Mus musculus: one gene and its partners. The protein of the gene in region 3 binds, or shares a complex with, the protein of the main gene of each other region. Links are inferred from orthologs where the notes say so. Each region holds a gene or a part of one and is shown on either strand. Other genes may lie near its edges.

Region 1 (4,140 bases), on a different chromosome or scaffold from region 3:
GAATGAAGCTAAACTGAATGATGTCTCTCGAGAAATTTATTAGGAGAATGTTGGAAGTTAGAGTAAATGGCTATTTAAAGTCTAAAGCAAGGCCACCTTAGAAGGCTCAGAAGGTAAAAGCATGTGTGCACGCACTCACAGACACACACACACACTAGTTTTTAAAGAGGCCTAAAATAGTTCCAGATCCTTTGCCTACATTTGATGTCTCCACAATTGCGATGTTGTAGTCAGCCAGTCTGCAGGATCTTTATTGTAGATGCTCTTCAGAAAACTTCAGTTCCCACAGCAAGTCGGGCACATGGCACCAGATCTGTCCTTGCTATCTCAAGCTCCATAGCAGCCTGGATCACCTGGATCACCTAAACTCAAAGGCAATCACTGGGGATTGAGTGCAACCACCTGTGGAAGGTTTTTCTAGAACAGATTTGCAATTTGGAAAGTTGCCATCCATTCAGGTTTCACTCAAACTGGTTCCTTCCCTTCCTCACACCCCGGAACAGATTGTAGCCAGGAACTCTGCCCTTTGTCAGGAGACAACTGCAGTACAAACTTACAATCTTGTCGTTTTCCCTCAGCCAACCACTTCCAGTTCTATCTAGCTACCTTTTTTCTTTAACCTAAGAACCTGAGATGCAACCCCCCCGCACATTTTTCAAGAAGGCTCCATTTTTTTCTCGTGTTCCATTTCGTCGTTTGTCAACCCAGGTTATAAGGGACTCTGGTTGTCATGCCTTTGCAATCACCTGCCAGTGAGTGAAATGTCCCTTCCTAAGGTTCCCCCTCCTCCCGCACTAGAAGTTAGGGATCTTCATGCGCTTCGACTCTCATTAAATTTTAAAAGAAGTTCCAAGCTTCTGAAGTTTAATATAAACCCAGTTGAAAATGCCACTTAAAACTTCGTGCAAGTGTATGTTGTACATCACTCAACTAACAAATCGAAGCCTCCTGGCTCGGCCGTGCAGTGGTTAAGTCAGTCGGTGATGGGTTCACCTGATTCACACCCACACACGAGCAGGCCTCTCCGCCAGGTCCTGCGGCCTCAGAGACACCAGCGTCTCCCCGGGGCTTGAGAGCACCCACAAAGGCACTAGCCCCGAGGCGACCTCAAGTCCTGCCCTCGAGAGAGAGGGTTTAGATGCTCCACGCCCGCAGGTTCACACCCCAGAACCGCGGGCTCCAGCTCCGGGGCCTCAGCAACGGGAGGCCGCCCCGCTGACGTCATCGTCCCGCCCCCCCTCCCCCAGCTCGCGCCTCCGTTCCCTCCCCGCCCCCTTTCCCGGCGTCCGCCGCGACACAAGCTCCTCGCCCTCTGATTTTGCTTCTCCCTTCAAGATGGCGGACACAATGAGCCGGCGGAGCGCCGGTTGGCCCTGAATTGACTCCGGAGAAGAACGGTCAGCGAGGTCCCGTCGTCCGGGCGAGAGAGCGTCGCCTGAGGAAGAGGACGCGGCAGCCCCACTGTCAGCCGTCCTTCGGTTCGTCTCCAGCGCGGCGCCCGCACCGCCGGGGTTGGCCCTGAGCAGCCCGCCCGATCGCTCGCCTCTCGGCCCCGCCCCGGCCCTGCGCCGCCGCTGCCTTCAGCAGCAGCAGCCGCCGCCGCCATGAAGCTGACCGACAGCGTGCTCCGGAGCTTCCGCGTCGCCAAGGTGTTCCGCGAGAACTCAGACAAGATCAACTGCTTTGACTTTAGTCCCAATGGCGAGACGGTCATCTCTAGCAGCGATGATGACTCCATCGTGCTCTATGACTGCCAGGAGGGCAAGTGAGTGTGATAGTGGCCGAGTTCCAAGTGCCCCTCTCCTTCCCTCTGTCGCTGGTCCCCGACTGAGCCCCCACCCCCAACCCCAGGCATGTGGTGCAGGCGCTCTTGCCAGGGCCACCTCCATCCCGCAGTGCTGCAGGAGATCCTCTTTAAGATGATGATGGTTCTTAGTTCATGTGTCTTTGCTCTCTTCCGAGCGCGCTTTTCCCGCTTGCCAAACCCCACCTTGACCTTGACCTTTAAACGCCATGTCCCTGCACCCTGCAGCCGGACGGATAGCCCTTTCCACTCCCCTGGCGACTGTCAGAATGTGCGGGTGGACTCTGAGCTCGATGCAGAACGGCAGGAGCTGTGTTCTGTCCATCAGTGGCGTCCAGCTCTCTGCCTTCACAGCAGTGACCTGGATTCAGCCCTGGCACGGTGCCCGCCCCCTACCCCTCAGCTTCCCGCGCGGCTTTTCTGCAATCAAGCCCCGCGGGATGCAGTTTTTAAGCTGTCAGGATTTATCGATTGTGCCCATGTGAGCTTGCTGTCCTTTCCCAGTACCAATACCCAGGCTTACAGTTAACTTACTAAACAGACTCTTGGAAACTTTTCTTTGCCAGACTCCTGAGAACTTGGCCGCCCCATTCTGGTCAGAATGTGAGCTCTCTTTAAAACAAAGAAAGCATTCCGGAACAATTTAGTGTTTCCTTTTGCATTACAAAAAAAACCCAAGTTTGGCCGCTTAGCCAGTAATCTCAGCATTTGGGCGATAGAGGCAGTCAGACCCTGAGTTCTGGACTTCATAGCAGAGAGACCCTGACTCAAAACAGTTAAAAAACAAAAAACAATAACCGCCAGATTGTGGTTTGCTTATAGTTATCAAAGTTTTGGAATTCTGGAACTGGTTATGGAAATTATGTTAGTTGGAGAACTTGTGTATCTTTGCCGTTTTCATAGCCTGGGTGTGAGGAAGACATTGCCTGTCTCATCTCTGGAAGTTCAAATCCTCGATAAGTAAGCAGTGACCTCTTTTGTAGCAGAAACTAGTTTAGGCTAAATTTGATTCCCTTTGTCAACTTCAGCTTCCTTCCTAAGCAGGAGGTGTTTAGTTTAATAGCTACTGTTTTCGACATTATGTTAAAGTTACCTGTTTTTGAATCCTTGGCTTTTTCTCTCCTTTTTGCAGCTGTTCTCTTTGTTTATTATTTTTTTCAAATAATAGTTTTCTTTTGGAACTTGTCTCTGAGTTTATCTAAAGTAAAGCTATTGTAGAATGAGCTGTATATGATATTGTCCTTGATGGGTTTCCTCGCTGGAGCTCCAACAAAGTATTACGTAACTGTCGTTGGACTTGAGCTTGCTGTATGTGGGAGAGTTTCCTACAGTGGTGATCCTGGGGAAGAGAAAATTACTAACTGGACAAATAGTTATTTGAATTGATGTTCATATTTGTGTATTGATTATTATCATACACTGGTCTGACTATTTGATTCTGTTTGGAACTACAAGTAATTTGAAATTGGTTTGTCTGACATGTTTGGTGCAATACATAGCTTAGAATCTCCCCCCCAAATCTGTAATGGAAATGCATATCCTATTCAAAGGAATAAAACACTAAGACTGAAAAAAATGTTTATTCAGGCATGTAACCTTTTTACATGATTACAAACTTACAGAAAGTTACAATGCTCCAAAGAACTTTCTTGAAAAAAGAACGTGTCCAGCAGTGCCTATAATTTCAGCGCTTGGGAGCTGGGGGTGCGAATCCAAGGCAGCTTGAACAGCTGTCCCAAAAAGGAAATGTAAGGGCTGGAGATGGCTACAGGCACTTGCTCTTAGAGAGGAACAAGTGGACTCCTACACCTTGTAACCATCTGTAACTAGTTCCAGGGGATTTGACCCCTAATTCTGATTTCTTGAGAGATGGCTCAGCTGTTAAGAGCACCTCTTCCACAGGTCCTGAGTTCAATTCCCAGCAACCACATGGTGGCTCACAACCATCTATAATGGGATCCAATGCCCTCTTCTGGTGTGTCTGAAGTCAGCTACAAGGGTACTCCTATAAATAACATAAAGAAGTCTTCATAAAGAGAGAAGTTTGTGGGGGGAAAAAAGTCCAGGAGCTAGAGAGATGGCTAACATGTGGTTAAGAGCGCATGTTAATTTTGCAGAGAACCTAGGTTAATCAGCAGCACCCACGTGGAGGCTCACAATTACATTTAACTCCAGTTGCAGGGGATCTGATGTTCTCTTCTGGATTCCATGTGCATCAGACCTGCATAGGGTGCCCATATATACAAGCAAGCAGACAAAATGCTCATATACATAAAATCAGTAAATGTAAAAATATATATGTATAGAAGAATAATCCAATAATTCCAACAGTAGAA
Region 2 (4,277 bases), on a different chromosome or scaffold from region 3:
TAACGGTCAGCCTGGCGATATGGACTGGGCCCACTCAGCTCTGAGTCAGACCCTAGGGAGCTAGAATCATCCTGTAGTTCTGATAACAAGTCCTCTCCCAGGGCCTGGGCCATTCTGCCCTGGACCCCAGTGTCACAGGCTGCAAGACATACAGAGAGCCAGTGTGAACAGCCAGACTCAGGCTGGGGATTCCAGCCACCAGTCCTCAGTCACAGGGGACTAAGCCCCCTCTTTTGCTGGGGAGTCGGGTAGACCCTGAGACCAAGTCTCTGTGCAGAGCCCCAGCCCCAAGCCTGGCCCCTACCCCAGCAGCCCGGCTCACCTCCTTGCTGCACCTCACCTCTTCTTCTCACTTCCTCCTCAGTCTCAGCTCAGCAGCTTGCTGGGGGCCCCTCCCTGGTGGGGGGACTCCCCCCTTCCTCTGTGAGGTTCTTCCTGCTTGCCCTAGTGCCAGAGCCACGACCTCCTCCCATCCAGAGGATGCTGGGTGTATTGATTCCCTGGCTGGCCCAAATTGAAGATGACAGGCCACCTTCAGTTTTACCAAGTAAAACCAATTTATGGTTCCAATAATAATTATCCTTTAATGTCATCCCACCCCTCCAACCCCCTGCCCCGGGTTTTTTGTTTTGTTTTGTTTTGAGAGTGAAGGGGTAGTGTGAGAACAGGGTCTTATGTAGCCCAGACAGGAGATGACCCTGAACTTCTGATCCTCCTGTGTCCAGACTCCTGAGTGCAGGAATTTCAGGCACTGGAATTATAGGTTTACGACACCAAGCCTACTTTAATGTTCCTTCCAGAGCCGGAGCTGGAACCTCAGGCCTTGCACATGCTAGACAAGTCCAAGTACTCTACAAAGGACTTACAACATGAACGAGATACAACGTATTACATCACTTATGGAAAAAAAATGGACGTAGCAGGCACCAAGGCAACCTGGACCAAAACACTGCTTAGAGTTCAGTAGCAGGTGTTCATGGGTCTGGCCATAAAGATGGAGGTGAATGTGAGGCTCCGGAGGTCTGGAGCCCACTCTCAGTATCATTAAGCCTTAGTTTCTTTTTCTGCACTTCGAGGAATTTATTTAGTGTTTGAGAAGTCAGCGATTAACATGCTCATACCACAGTCCCACGCAGGGCTGGGGTGGGAGAGACTTGGAAAGAGAAAAACAATTCCTACAGTACTTCCGGCCCTAACTCATCTGAACGCGGCAGGGCGATTCCTCCAGGGTGGAGCCGACCTAACCCCGCCCTACCGAACCCCGGCTCACCACCCCTGCCAGCCCCGCCCGCTCGCCCGAGGCCCTCTCGGGCTGCGGAGCTTCCCGTCCAGGGGAGGCGCTAGAGAGCGGGGAACTACGGACGCGGCAGGGCGGGGCGGGGCGGTCGACCGAAGAGGAGGGGCGGCGGGCCGGGGGCGGGCTGGGGAGGGCGGAAGGAGAGCCAGGCCGGAAGGAGGCTGTAAGAGGGCGGGAGGCAGGAGAGGGCCCGGAGCTGGTGGGCCGGAGCGGCGGCGCCGCCATGTCCGACAGCGAGAAGCTCAACCTGGACTCCATCATCGGGCGCCTGCTGGAAGGTGGGCAGGGGTAGGGAAGGTGCGCTCGCGCCGAGCCCGGGCCCCTCGCCGTCTGGAAGTGGCGCGCGGGCGGCCCGCCGCTCCCGGGGGCTAGCGTCGCTTGGGCGGGGACAGGCCGTGAGGATCCATGGCCACGGCACCCCCCCCCCCCGCGGGCGCCTGGGCTTTGGAGCGCGCTCAGAGGCCGGGGGTGCACGAGTGCCCGGGACTCAGGGTGAGGCTCCTGCGAAGCTAGCTGGGAAGGGATCCCGAAGCGAGGAAGCTTCGGCTGACAGGCTGCTGAGCACAGGCGTTTCTCTGGAGGCCCTCCGGGTGGCTAAGGGGTCGGATCTTGCCTTTGAAGGCCTGACGCAAAGGTTTCGGGGTGAGGGGGTGGGGGCTCACTTGCAACAGTTGCCCCTGTTAGGGGGGCGCGACACCTACCCTCGTCCGGTCTGCGAGGTCAGGGTCCCAAGACCCTATTCCGTACTCAGTGCAGGGCTCACGGCCTGGGAAGAACGTGCAGCTGACAGAGAACGAGATCCGTGGTCTGTGCCTCAAATCCCGGGAGATTTTCCTGAGCCAGCCCATTCTTCTGGAGCTTGAGGCGCCCCTCAAGATCTGTGGTAAATCCTTGCACAGAACCCTTTTGCTTCCTGAAAATAGCCCCTACTCGTGCCCCATTAACCGTGTTCCTCCACCCTTTAACCTATTGCTGGCCCTGGGGTCAAGTTTACATCTTGCACCTACCTAGTTTTCTCTGGTTCCCAGGTGACATCCATGGCCAGTACTATGACCTTCTACGGCTGTTTGAGTATGGTGGCTTCCCTCCAGAGAGCAACTACCTCTTCTTGGGGGATTATGTAGATCGGGGCAAGCAGTCTTTGGAGACCATCTGCCTGTTGCTGGCCTATAAGATCAGATACCCGGAGAATTTCTTTCTACTTCGTGGGAACCATGAGTGTGCCAGCATCAACCGCATTTATGGCTTCTATGATGAATGTAAGTGCTTTGAATGTTGCTGTCTGCCCAGAACTACATTCCCTGCTCTTCATGGGCCCCCTACATTGGTCTAGTGCCAAAAGACCCCCAATGATGAGCCCTGTAGGGCCCCAGCAACACGTCTGTCGTCCTTGGCGCTCAGGAGGGGCCTGGTGAATGGATGTACATGCAGGGCTGCCCATTTGCTAAAGCCACAGCCCTGCCTGATGACACCCCCTTCTAGTACATTCCTTAGTAAACATTTAGGATGCCTGTATGAATAAAACAGACCCACTCCTGGTTTGGCCTCATCCATGGGACCAGAGTGGGTACCACCATCATGGTTGGGCCAGACGAGTTCAGGTGTTGGAATTCTGGAAGGTAGATGAGGGTAGAGCAAAGAGAAGAATGTAAGCTTTCTTTGCTTTTCGGTCTTTTTTTCTCAGCTTTGTCCCTGGATGGGTGCACAGAAACCTAGACTGGGGTTGGGGGTTGGGGGTGTAGTCTTCCCTATGAGCCGCTTCCTTTTGCGCAGGCAAGAGAAGATACAACATCAAACTGTGGAAGACGTTCACTGACTGCTTCAACTGCCTGCCCATTGCAGCCATTGTGGATGAGAAGATCTTCTGCTGCCACGGGGGTGAGAGTGGTTGTGGGTCTGTGCTTGGGTTCTTGGGCCACATCCTTAGGGGCCTTGTAAAGTTAACAGAACTCTTCTCAGTTCCCTGGAATAGCGCTCCTTGAATCTCATCTTGGATATCGCTTATTAGGGGAGATTACCACACCCCCGTTTGTTTTTGAGACTGGCTTTCTGGGTAAAACCCTGACAGTCCTGGAACTCACTTTGTAGACCTGGTTGGCCTTGAACTCACTAGAGCTCCTGCCTATCTCTGACTCCCAAGTGATGGGATTAAAGGCATGCTCCACCCACCAGTTTGGTTGCACTCTTTCCTGTTGTGGCATGAGGCATCCTGTAGTCAACTCATTAATCTCCTTCTGCCCCCCCACCCCCGAGGTCTGCTATCTGTACTTCTAAGTGGTGGTGTCATATAAAGTGAGTTCCAGGACAGCCAAGGCCACAGAGAAATGGGGCCAGTGGGGAAGTAATGGATTCTGTCTCCCTGAACTTAAGGAGCCCAGATTAGCGGTGGGAACAGTGGAGCTGTCCCACCCCAGAGCTGGGCACAGGACAGCACTTGGTTTAAGGAACACTATTCCCACTCCACCACCCCCAGGCCTGTCTCCAGACTTGCAATCCATGGAGCAGATTAGGCGTATTATGCGGCCCACAGACGTGCCTGACCAGGGCCTACTGTGTGATCTCCTGTGGTCTGACCCTGACAAGGATGTTCAAGGCTGGGGCGAGAATGACCGTGGTGTCTCCTTTACCTTTGGGGCTGAGGTGGTAGCCAAGTTCCTGCACAAGCATGATTTGGACCTCATCTGCAGAGCACATCAGGTGGGCTGGTGGCCTGGGGCGGGCTGGGGGTGGGGGTGGGGTGCCTAACTTACAGACTAAACCGTTCCTGCCCTGGCCCAGGTTGTAGAAGATGGCTATGAGTTCTTTGCCAAGAGACAGTTGGTGACACTCTTCTCAGCTCCCAACTACTGTGGAGAGTTTGACAATGCTGGTGCCATGATGAGTGTGGATGAGACCCTCATGTGTTCCTTCCAGGTGGGTGTGGGGAAGAGGCTGCCCAATAGACGCCTGGCTCAACCCCAGGACCCTGATGAGTGTTTTC
Region 3 (3,539 bases):
CTGCCCGTCCCTCCCCCAAAAAACCCTTTATGGACAAAGACAGATGTCACTGAGTTGTATACATTCTGGTAGTCTAGATGGCTTAAGCTTTACCAGAATCTACAACATTCATTAGAACCCAAAGGGCTGTTCTTAAAGCTCTAACTGCCCAAGGATCGTCAGCTATTCTGTGGGCTATATTAAATCTGCCCCCTAGTGGCTACTAAGTATTTATTCAATCTGTCAGTTTTAATGTTTGATGCCAATGGTGAGCATTTTAATTATCCAAGGACTATTCACTAGCAGTGACTGAATGAAGTAGGCCTGGCTACCATCAATTACTAATCCTTAGATAGACAGATCCGGCTGGATCTTGGGGCATGAGACTGAAGCAGGAGGATTGCAAGCTTAAGGCCTGCCAATGCTTATTTAGAGGTCTCAAAAGGGGAGGGGGGCTGGTAGTGTTAAGAGTTTAAGAGTGTATATGTAAGGTGCCTAGGTTCAACTCTTAGGACCACCAAAGAAATTAAAATCCAATCAGTTTTTGTATTGACACTGCCATATTATTTGCTCTGATCTTTTTAAAAGTTGATGTAGGCCGGGCGTGGTGGCGCATGCCTTTAATCCCAGCACTCAGGAGGCATAGGCAGGTGGATTTCTGAAGCCAGCCTGGTCTACAAAGTGAGTTCCAGGTCAGCCGGGGCTATACAAAGAAACCCTGTCTCAAAAACCAAACCAAACCAAACCAAAAAAATTGACGTGGACTGGGCATAGTAGAGCACACCTTTAGCCTCAGCACTTGGGAGGCAGAGGCAAGTAGATCTCTGAGTTCAAGGTTAGCCTGGTCTACATGGAGAGTTAGTTCCAGGACAGCCTGAGATAGGTATCACCAGAAAGTAGAACATTTTAAGTATTAAGCCCTTACAGGATTTTTGGTTTGCCTCTTCTTTCCCCCTTGTTTTAGGATTACTCTTGGAAACCAACTGGATGGGATACACCTACTAGACCCAGATGTGGTTGCCAGGTTTAAGCAAAGGTATCCGGACGGCATCATCTCTAAACCTAAGAATTTATAGACGCACTTCCTTACAAAGCTAAGCGTTCAGAGCCATGGGCTACAGGCCACACCTTAAGAGGACTGTTTACGCAATAGTGTCCCCTACCCTGTATATAAATAAATAAAAGTTTGTATTATAATTGGAATTTCTGAAGTGAAATTATGGCTTTCCACTTAGTGTGTGTCCTTGTGCTACTCTTATTTAGCGTGATTCATTATAAGTAAAAGAAGAATGTTAGCTACCTAGCGTGTTAGAAAAGACTACACAGGTTCACAGTGCTTAGCAATTAATATGCTATAAACAGGATTAATTTGAATTTTACCATGCATATGGTACTCTAAACTTTTGCTTATTCTATGTACGTTTGCTGGTTTATTAGTCTGTAGCTAATTTCTAAGAAAAACAAGGTACCTTCAATTAAAATTAGAGCTTAGAATATAAAAAATTGGCCTATGCATTATGTAAATGAATGCACATTTAAAAGATGTTTCATCAAACACAGATTCTTTACTTTGTAAAACCTCTTATTAGGGGTATAGAGTTCTGCTTCTTACATGCAAAACTGGTAACCAAGTCAGGTAAAGAAATACTTGTACAGAAAAAGATCGTTTTGGATGATGTCGTTTCCCCTCTAGCCCAATGTGCTAAGACTGAGACAAACAGAATTTGTGTGTTTTTGTCAGGAGCAGGGAGGGGGACCTTAAGATAGGATCTCACTAGGTAATCCTGGCTAACTTCAAGCTCAGAGATCCAACCTGCCTCTTGCCTCCTAAGTTGTAGGATTAAAGGGGAGTGCCACCACACCCGGTCTATTTTTTGAGACAAAGTCTGATTTAAGTTCAGATCAAAAATCTTCCTGTCTACTTCCAAAGTATTAGGATTAAAGGCACGGGCCACCATGTTCTGTAAAACCTTTACCTCATGCATCTTAGACTGTTCTCAAACTCACTAGTGGGCCAAGGATGACCTTGAACTCCTGATCTTCCAGCCTGGGGTCTGAACTCAGAGCTTTATAGTGCTAAGCCATAACCCCAGGCCTTCAAACCTTCCTCCTAATAGCACTGTGTATATCAATAATAGTTCCCTTTTAAAGGGCTATCACACATTTTATTTTAAATCAGTATTTTCATTCCTCCTTCACTTGGGATTTAAACCCAGTGCACTTTACCACTGAGCTGAAACCCTAAGTCTCTCTTCTCCCAGAGCTTTTTCTGCCGAGAACAAAGCAAAGCACTCGCCCAATGACATTCTAGGCAAGTTGTCTGACCGTTTTACTGGTATGTTTCTTCTAATGACCCCTATGATTTGCTCCCATCACTCTTCCCTGTGCTTGCTAGTAAGCTGGTAATTTTGCTTACAGTTGAGAGTAAAAAGCAATTCTAAATTACAGTGAATTTGCTGGCCCTGCTACATAGTCTGGCCTCTGCTGAAGAAAGAAAAGGGAGATGGAGGCATGAAGGACTATGGGTAAAGGTCAGGCACTACAGAAGCCCAGTTTGTGTTTAAAAAACAGGCTTTTGGCCGGGCGGTGGTGGCGCACGCCTTTAATCCCAGCACTTGGGAGGCAGAGCAGGTGGATTTCTGAGTTCGAGGCCAGCCTGGTCTACAAAATGAGTTCCAGGACAGCCAGGGCTACATAGAGAAACCCTGTCTGGAAAACCAACAAAACAAAACAAAAAAACAGGCTTTTGGACTCGTGTTCAGCAGATGAATCTTCAAGGCTTGGAGAAGACGAAGGCTACTTCACAAACACCACAGAGTTTGGATTTCTAGAGGCCACCCAGGCCAAGAATACATCCCTAAGAGAGAAAGATACATACAAACTTATTATAGCAAAACCATACCCAAATATTTCCCTACATCTCCAAAGTATAACATCATCAAGTAGCCTAAAAGTCAGATGTGGTAGACTGTGCCAATCCACCTCGTAGAGGACACATATGCCCTTTCACGGATATAGGTAATTCCCTGGGATATTTTGGTAGAAGGGCAAAGTTTTCACTTACTACTCACCTTCTCTACACTTAGCATTTACTCTGCTACTTTCCCCCTTACCTATCCCTCACCAAATTCTTTGACACTGGTAATTGAAATCAGGACCTTACCCATGCCAGGCAAGCAGTTGTCAGTTGAGCTACATCCTCATCTCTAAGCAATTGAACATCTAGGAGCATCTCTAATCAGATACCTACCCACCCACACATGTCAAGTGGCTCTGCCTAATAAGGTCATGCTCAGTCCACACGGGTACGGGTACCATGCTCCCCAACAGTTTCACTTCACTACCTCTTGATTTATAAGGACTGTTAAACTCACCTGCAGTGCTTCACCACACACTCATTGCTGCAGTACTCGTTGTCCCAGTCCTTACTGACAACAGGAGGGTTCTCACAACCAGACCTCACACATCGAGGCTGAGGTGACAGTGCCACAGGGGAGCCACTCACCAATTCAACATCCATCTGAGAAGGAGACTCCACCTTAAAACAGGGAGCAATACAA

The links.
Region 1: Tox4 (region 3) and Wdr82 share a complex: the UniProt entries of both Homo sapiens proteins name them as parts of the PNUTS-PP1 phosphatase complex. The link is inferred for Mus musculus from reciprocal best matches to the Homo sapiens genes TOX4 and WDR82.
Region 2: Tox4 (region 3) and Ppp1ca share a complex: the UniProt entries of both Homo sapiens proteins name them as parts of the PNUTS-PP1 phosphatase complex. The link is inferred for Mus musculus from reciprocal best matches to the Homo sapiens genes TOX4 and PPP1CA.

Annotation. Positions count from the first base shown.
Region 1 is NC_000075.6:106,169,615-106,173,754, forward strand, and holds the start of Wdr82 (WD repeat-containing protein 82), read left to right. Parts: upstream 1-1,314; 5' UTR 1,315-1,604; coding exon 1,605-1,765; intron 1,766-4,140. UniProt on the Homo sapiens protein: Regulatory component of the SET1/COMPASS complex implicated in the tethering of this complex to transcriptional start sites of active genes.
Region 2 is NC_000085.6:4,190,697-4,194,973, forward strand, and holds the start of Ppp1ca (serine/threonine-protein phosphatase PP1-alpha catalytic subunit), read left to right. Parts: upstream 1-1,477; 5' UTR 1,478-1,520; coding exon 1,521-1,575; intron 1,576-2,048; coding exon 2,049-2,180; intron 2,181-2,325; coding exon 2,326-2,556; intron 2,557-3,070; coding exon 3,071-3,175; intron 3,176-3,770; coding exon 3,771-3,994; intron 3,995-4,075; coding exon 4,076-4,210; intron 4,211-4,277. Other genes in the region: Tbc1d10c (carabin), read right to left, coding at 1-113. UniProt on the Homo sapiens protein: Protein phosphatase that associates with over 200 regulatory proteins to form highly specific holoenzymes which dephosphorylate hundreds of biological targets.
Region 3 is NC_000080.6:52,292,498-52,296,036, reverse strand, and holds the end of Tox4 (TOX high mobility group box family member 4), read right to left. Parts: intron 3,518-3,539; coding exon 3,354-3,517; intron 2,837-3,353; coding exon 2,776-2,836; 3' UTR 1,056-2,775; coding exon of another isoform or gene 944-1,055; 3' UTR 528-943; downstream 1-527. Other genes in the region: N6-adenosine-methyltransferase subunit METTL3, read left to right, coding at 944-1,055. UniProt on the Homo sapiens protein: Transcription factor that modulates cell fate reprogramming from the somatic state to the pluripotent and neuronal fate. In liver, controls the expression of hormone-regulated gluconeogenic genes such as G6PC1 and PCK1.